2 linked regions of the Coturnix japonica genome follow. The protein of the gene in region 2 purifies or fractionates together with the protein of the main gene of each other region. This does not show direct contact. Links are inferred from orthologs where the notes say so. Each region holds a gene or a part of one and is shown on either strand. Other genes may lie near its edges.

Region 1 (3,817 bases), on a different chromosome or scaffold from region 2:
CTAGGCCATCAGAAACAGGATCAGATGAAGTAAGAAATAGTTCTCTTTGACAAATGAAAGCTGGGGGTGTGTTGTTTTGTTTTTTAAGATAATCCAGAAGAAACACCTCTGATCTGGACTCACCAGGGATTGCAAGCCTGTGGGGGAAGGAAAGCTGTTTTGCACTGTGCTGCGTCTGTATCATGTGACCTTTTCTTGTCAGGTCCCAATTTCAGAGAAGTTAGATTCAGGAATGAATTTAACATGAATTACAAAGCAACACGTTGCAGTTTTTTGACTGCCAAATAGACAACATATAGACAACAAATAGAACATATAGAACATCCTAGATGTTCTATCCCCTTAAAAAAAAGTTGGCTTACTCTCTCCTCCACTCAGCACCTTCAGCAAGTTAAGAGCATCAAATTACATGCTCCACTGAATGCACTGGTTCTTTCTGAATTTAGCAGTGTGTTCAAGATTGATTCACCAGGTTTTGCCTAGGTAAGAGTAGGAAGGTTGTTCTCTAACATAGTCAAGCAATGAAGTGGATAAGGCTTACTAGCATTCCACTGTAAGAAGCTTACAAGCTACAGTGGTACAATTGTGCCACTAGGTTTTGTAGGTTGGCAGCTCAGTGAACCCATGGGGCTTACAGGCTGCAATCTGTATGAAACAGGTTAAGATGTAAATGCCCAACATGCTGTGATGGAAGTAGAAAAAAGGCTGGGGGCACTATGTGAATTACAGCACGGCGCCACACAGAATTATTAGTGCAAAGAAGGCACTTCAAATCAGTTTCCATCTCTCTGTTTTCTTAAATGTTAATGCTTTGATTCATTTTATGCATAACTGGAGGAAGGATGGGAAGATACAGTGTAACGATTGAATCTGTGCAATGTAGCTTGCAGGGTTTGTGTGGCACCTTAACGGTGTTTGTACTGGTTGTGGGGAAGACCCCTCTGCAGTGGTGCCATGGAGTTCTTTTGCTGAAAGTCTGTTCATTGTTTGTTGCCTCTTTCTCCTATTTGCTTTGTCTAGGACTGGGAATATCTCTTGAGCTCTGATTACCACAGAAATTTTGAGTCTCATCCTCTATCCAAAGTCTTGGGATTGGACCCTCTGGAAGTTTTAGCTCCAAAGGATGACTTCTTACAGAGCCTTAGCCTGGATTATTCAACTCTCCTTTTCACCCATATTCCTGCTATTTTCTTTGTTCTTCATCTGGTCTATGAGGAGTTCAAACTGAACCTTCTGATGGGAGAAGAGAATCGGTCACTTGTTGTTCTTCTGGTTCAGCTGGCCAGGTATGCCAAACCAACAAATCACAGGTGCTGTATGTTGTGTAGTATCTCTTGATGTTATTGTTTTGGGGATTACCCAAAGTGTGAACAGACTTTCATATTTCTGAAGAAAATGAATAATAACAGTTGAAGATATTTGTTATAGGAAATCTCTTGTATAGTCCTGACCACTTACCAGCATAAGCATGACTCACAAATAGTAGTTCTTGGTAGATGGCTTTTGCTCCTGCAATACAAGAAAAGGGAGAGGGAGGAAGTCTACTCAACAGATGTTATACATCATAGAGTGCAGACAGAAGTAAAAACACCTTGTTGACTTTCAGTGCTCAGTTGCTCAGATAAAAGTGTTCTTCATTTAGTGATTTCTTGCTGGTGGTGGTAGGTGTTTGTTTTGCTTTAAAACATAACCAGAATCTCATCTCGGTTCTGGTTTTACATGACCTTACCGTTTAGATCATGATAAGAAACACAGTACTTGCTTTTCATGCTGTGTTGCCTCCCTGGCAGCTGAAATTGTGTACCCGGGACAGCTCGCATTTTTGTCTACTGCATTGACTAAGCTCACAAGATTTATCAAATATTCATCTTTGTGGTGTTTTTACTGCAGCCAGTGACTGCATCCTTACATCTTCCACCCTCACATTGAGATTGCATTGCATATGTATAGACACACATGCGTACAATTATCTGTATAAGCAAAAGACTCAGTAAAGCCTCTCCAAGTTTTATTTGATATTTCTACCAAAATCTCTTTGGCTATAGATTCTTCCCCTGGCACTGCAGTTGGTTGACTGGAGTAGTTTCCAGAAGTAGCCCCTAGTCCTGGGAAGATTGAACTGTGCATTATCCTGTCATGCCAATGAAAAGCAACTCTGTGATGAAATGCTGTGTATCTGTTGTGGCTGGAAGCTGTTGTTTGCATTCGCATCTTGCAGATAAACTCAGCTTGTTATCTAACTTTTTAACATTTGGAAGTTTGGGAATGTTGTAGTGACAGTTGCTATGCTGTAAGTGGTGGTGGTGTGGCACAAAGCAGAACTACAGCTGGAAAGTAGTGCACTGGGGGGAAATAAAGCATGCAGGTTACTTGCTTTGCAAAGGGGCAATGCCCATAAGCAACTCTAGTTAAAGAAGTCAGAGCTTCACCCCTTGTATCTGATGTTTATTACGAATATTAAAAGTAAATAGAAAATGTCAGAAATGGAAGAAGGCGTGGAGTTTTCTTTTTGTTTTTCACTGTATGATGATTCACATCTTTCATTCTAGGGACTTGAAACTTGAAGCTTATATAGATTACTACTACCGAGACTATCCAGCCCTTGTAAAAAGCTCTGGACAGACTTGCATAATTGATCAAGGTGAGTTTTTAAGGCTATGTGAAGCGAGTGCTCAATGGTATTGGTGTGTAAGTTCTCTTAATACTGAGCATGTTGATAGCTGGATAGGACTTAAACCAAATGTGAAACTGTGCATGGGTTGTCTCGTTCCTTTGTCTTTAAAAGTCTGTTAGAACCCTGCAGTGACAAGCTGATGCCTTCAGTGTAGTGCTTCATGAGATGTTTCACAGCAAGGACCTGGGAGAAAGTTGATGGTTTTATTTCAGCAAACTCCTAGCTCAGGCTGGCTGAGAAGTATTTGTGGAGAGCTATGGAAAAACCTGGTAATGAGGTGTGCTTCTGCTGCAAGCTCTCAGTTTATAGTCCTTTAAAATGAAATCAGAGCTCAAAGCACAATGATGAAAGCTAAAATAAGATCACTTATTTTTTTGTGCATCTGTTTAATGTACTACCAGCTGAAATTTGCTGGTCACGCAAAACAAAATACTCTTTTTCCTGGCACAAAAAATATAATCTCATCATATTGGTCAGGCTTTGCCATTTGTGTTTGTGAATAGGGAGGACAAAGAGGTTATAGTTAGGCTGCTCTCTCACTTAGTGATTTGATGTTTAAGGACAAGACTGTTCCCCTGAGGTTTTTGAAAATTAGAAATTACATACGTTACTTTTCACAGTAGGTTGATACTTCCTTAAAAGACACAAAGATGTTTCATTCTTTCATTACAGTCTAGCCATAAGCTTGCATCTGACAGAAGGCAGATGTGATCCATAATGCTTTGAAATACCAGAAATGGTGTAGGGTTTGTTTTGAGAACAGAAAACAGTTTTTGTGCATTTGCCATGAATGTGGTGTCAAGACTGTTCGTGCCATTAAATCCAAACAGGTTTCATGCATCATCCCGCATTTTTTTCTGCTGAGCCTCCAAGTATCTTTCAGTGGCTGAGTTCCTGTCTAAAGGGAGGAAGTGTTCAGCCTTATCCTTACTTACCAGGAATCTGTGAAAGGAGCAAGCTGGTAATACTGGTATGTACGCTGGCAAAGATAACGTGTTTTCCTCTATCAGCGTAACAACTCTGTGGCCACGGTTTGTTCTAGCTGCTTAATTTCCTGTGAGTGAAGTGCCCTCAATGGGAAGTCAAATGATGAAAAGTCTGTCACGTGTAAAGCAGTAGGAGCACGCTGGAGCAGTACTGAGA
Region 2 (3,817 bases):
GACTTGCACAGGGTGGCTGTGATGCCAGTGGACAAGATAGGACAGGTGTTCATACCTGGAGGGACTGGATTTGCCGTATCTATGAACCCATGCAGCTATCACCATGACTCCAGGGAATGTGATCAGCAAGTCTTTACTATGCTTTGTTTGACCAGGGTTATGGCTTCCAGCATTTGGTGTCATAGGGTGGTCCCAAGCCAGGTTCACCCACTCTTGCCTCATGCTTTGTCCAACTCTCACTTGCCCTCTGTTCTCCAGGAAGTGCCCCACGCCGGGCTGTGATGGATCAGGACATGTGACAGGGAGATTCACAGCACACTACTGCCTCTCAGGGTGCCCTCTGGCAGAGAAGAACCAGGGCAGGCTTAAGGCAGACTTGTCTGATACTGAGGCCTCAACTCGCAAGAGGAACCTGATTGGCTTCTCTCAGCGGAAGAAATCTCGGCACCATGGGAGGTAGGGGCAAGCCTGTGTGGAGCCACTGGGCTACACATAGCATCCGTAGGATGGATGGTTGAGTTGGAGAGACTCCTTGCCTGCAGGGGAGCATGCTTGCTGACAGCTGGTGTTTGTTATTGCAGCTCTTATTTAGTGACCTTGGACACCTCTCCTATTTGTTTTTTCTATTCACATTGTGTTTCTTTGGCTGTCAACCCTTTTTGTCAGGGTCTGAGGGTAAGCCTTGCTCCTACTGTCAAGGCATTGCTCTGTGCAGTGTGGTGGAGGGCCCTTAGCCAGTTCCAACACAAGTGAAATCAGTTTTCCTTTATCTTTAGAGGGCGACCTCCAAAGTACCGGAAGATCCAGCAGGAAGATTTCCAGAGTAAGTGCGCTCCTCTGCCATGGTGTTATTGCAGAACAGGGGTAAGACTTGAGGAGCTGGAGTGGTGGCTGGCAGAGGTATGTCTCTCCTTGGCTTGCTCAGTTAGTCCTTGCACAGGTCAGCACCAGGCTGAGGGCTGTGTAGACCTCATGATGTCAAAACCATCTAACAAGGGATGTCCATGACTCTTATCAGAACTCTGCTAGGTCCCTCATCACTTCTCTTGAATAGTATCTATGAATCTTTGAATGCTTTGGGGCAGGGAATTGGGACCCAATCTCTTTGGCTGTGCATTTTTCCAGGCACTTTGTCTTCTTCAGCCAGAGGTGCTGTGCCTTCATCCTATCAGTGCTATACCCCAAATCCTCAGTGTGATGTGCCACACTACTGCAGAACAGAACCTGTTGCTGAACATTTTGTTTGGCATCTAGTTCTGATGGTTGGCATGGGATATAAGTGGCTGTGGGGTGGTAAGGCATTTTCTCCAGCCAGTATTGATTTTACCATAGGCTGGCTTGGTGTTCAGCCCATCACTGAAGGTGAATGAAGGTCTCTTTTTGGAAGCCATCATTGGCTCATTAGACTAAGGCTTAAAGTTTTGTTTTAAACCTAAATTTAGTTGAATGATAAGGGATAGTATTCTGGTGTGAAATTTGAATTGAAATTTATCTCAGCATGAAGGACTGAAGAGAACAAGGCAAAGTCAGCCTGGTCTCTGAACTTCCCTCACCATCCCCCGTCCCACCATATTGAATGCCAATGAATCATTAACCTGTTAATTCAAAGGACAGCCACTAGCCCTTGATAACATGACCCCATGAGACCATCTGCTCCCAGCCCCAGGTCCTCTCCTGAACAGAGTCTTCTCCAAGGCTTGTAGAATGGAATAGGATGTTCTCATCCCCCTTCTTTATATCATATCTTACGTTTTTATTGGCAGCTATTTCTTCAGACAACATGCACCAGTCACTCTTCATGTCTGCCCTGTCTGCCCATCCTGACCGCTCTCTATCTCTATGTTGGGAGCAGCACTGCAAACTCCTACCAGGAGTGGCTGGCATCACAGCAACCACAGTAGCCAAATGGACAACTGATGAGGTAAGATGGTTTTGGAGTGTGTGTGCTGGTTCCTAACCCACTGGCGTGACTGGGAGAACTTGAGCTGGCTGGGCAGCACCATGATACACATCCCAGGCACAGAACAGTGGCCTTTTCCCTGGGCTAATGAGGTGTGGACAGCTGTCAGTCGCATGCCCTGGTGGCAGTGGCTTGGGAAGAATATGTAGAACTACCAGATTCTTCCTTGGCTTGAATGCAATGCTAGCAGGGCAGGCAGTGAAGGACAACAGTCTTCATTTAGCATACCAGTTTTCCAAATCAGTTTTCTCTTTTCTAAATAATAAAAAAACAAAACAAAACAAGACAAAACAAACAAGCAAAAAACCTCCCATAGACTTTGCAAATGGGGAATCGCTTCCCTCTCTCTCCTGTGATGAAATATTTACTTCTGATTCATACTCATCACTCTCATTCACTTTCTTTGGTATCAGTAGTGGCCTCTCTTGAAGACTGGGTAGCTGGACCTCTGACACTGTACTGGCAGCCCCAGCACCCAGCTCTGCCTGATTTCCCATTCCTCCTGTGCACGCCACTTCTCTCCCAGTCCCTCGGTGGGAATCGTATTGTTGGTCTGGAGATGGCTTATTGGAGATAAAGCTATTGTAGCACTTGCTACTCTGAGGCTGGAAAGGACCAGCACCCATGCTGTTTGTTGTGCAGGCTATGTCTTGGATGGGTTCCGCTGAACAAGCTTTGAGGCAAAAATTGTTCCAGCTTCTTACACCCAGGTCAGGAGTGGCATAGGAGAATGCAGCACTTTGCCCTACCAGGCATGGGTTAACTTAAAGGAGTCATAAAGCTTCTGTGGAAATGAGGATGTGATCTTGTGGGGTGTCACCAGACAGAAACATTGCTTCCATCTTGACATTTCTTTCTGTTTATTCCAAGGTCTTTAGCTTTGTTCAAACTCTGACGGGTTGTGAGGACCAAGCCAAGCTCTTCAAAGATGAGGTGAGAAGGTCTGGAGGATGAATGCAGCTGCCCAAAACAGCTGTTTGCCAACAGAGGAGGAAAAAATTGATCACTGGCCTTCCTTTGGTGGCTTTGCTGCTGAATGTCTAGAGCACATCCACCACCTGGCAGTGATTCCCACCCTGGGGGCAGCAGTTGCATGGCATTCCAGTGTGCAGCTGTCTGCCCTTGCAGGCAGTGGCAAGAGGGAGATTCTGGATTCTGTCCATATCAAGTTGTGCTTCCCTCTTCCCTTGGCCTGAGTGAAGAAGGGTCCCTCTGAGGAGGCTGAGACTGGTGAGCAGGAGGAGGGTGCTGCAGCTTCATAGAATCACAGAACTGCTCAGATTGAAAAAGACCTTAAAGATCATCAAGTCCAACCACAACCTAACCATACTACCCTAACTAACAACCCTCCACTCAATCATGTCCCTGAGCACCACATCCAGATGGTTTTTAAACACATCCAGGGATGGTGACTCTCCCTGGGGAGCCTATTCCAGTGCTTAACAACCCATTCTGTAAAGAAATTCTTCCTGATATCCAAACTAAACCTCCTCTGGTGCAACGTGAGGCCATTTCCCCTCCTCCTGTCATCTGTCACCAGTGAGAAGAGACCAACCTCACTCTGCTGCAATCACTTTTCAGTGATTGCACTGTGGGTGGCTCTTGCCAAGCTCCATATGAGCAGGGGGGAGGCTGTGGTGGGCTGCCAGAAGTGAATGTGATTGTATGCATCTCCAGAGTGCCTGCACTGTCTGTCTGTAGGATGTCGCAGCCTGGGTTGTCGATGAATGCCTTAAGTCCCTACTCTCCTCTGCAGATGATTGATGGTGAAGCATTCCTCTTGCTGACTCAGGCTGACATTGTCAAGATTATGAGTGTTAAGCTGGGCCCTGCTCTCAAGATCTACAATGCCATCCT

Evidence for each region.
Region 1: the proteins of L3MBTL1 (region 2) and ANAPC1 purify together in Homo sapiens (affinity purification with mass spectrometry; 4 studies listed by BioGRID and IntAct, counting the BioPlex papers as one, with this or other methods). This does not show direct contact. The link is inferred for Coturnix japonica from reciprocal best matches to the Homo sapiens genes L3MBTL1 and ANAPC1.

Annotation. Positions count from the first base shown.
Region 1 is NC_029518.1:4,569,747-4,573,563, forward strand, and holds part of ANAPC1 (anaphase-promoting complex subunit 1), read left to right. Parts: coding exon 1-29; intron 30-1,020; coding exon 1,021-1,286; intron 1,287-2,549; coding exon 2,550-2,641; intron 2,642-3,504; coding exon 3,505-3,644; intron 3,645-3,817. UniProt on the Homo sapiens protein: Component of the anaphase promoting complex/cyclosome (APC/C), a cell cycle-regulated E3 ubiquitin ligase that controls progression through mitosis and the G1 phase of the cell cycle.
Region 2 is NC_029535.1:4,374-8,190, reverse strand, and holds part of L3MBTL1 (lethal(3)malignant brain tumor-like protein 1), read left to right. Parts: intron 1-258; coding exon 259-456; intron 457-759; coding exon of another isoform or gene 760-776; coding exon 777-823; coding exon of another isoform or gene 824-868; exon of another isoform or gene 869-900; intron 901-1,763; coding exon 1,764-1,921; intron 1,922-2,830; coding exon 2,831-2,893; intron 2,894-3,716; coding exon 3,717-3,817. UniProt on the Homo sapiens protein: Polycomb group (PcG) protein that specifically recognizes and binds mono- and dimethyllysine residues on target proteins, thereby acting as a 'reader' of a network of post-translational modifications.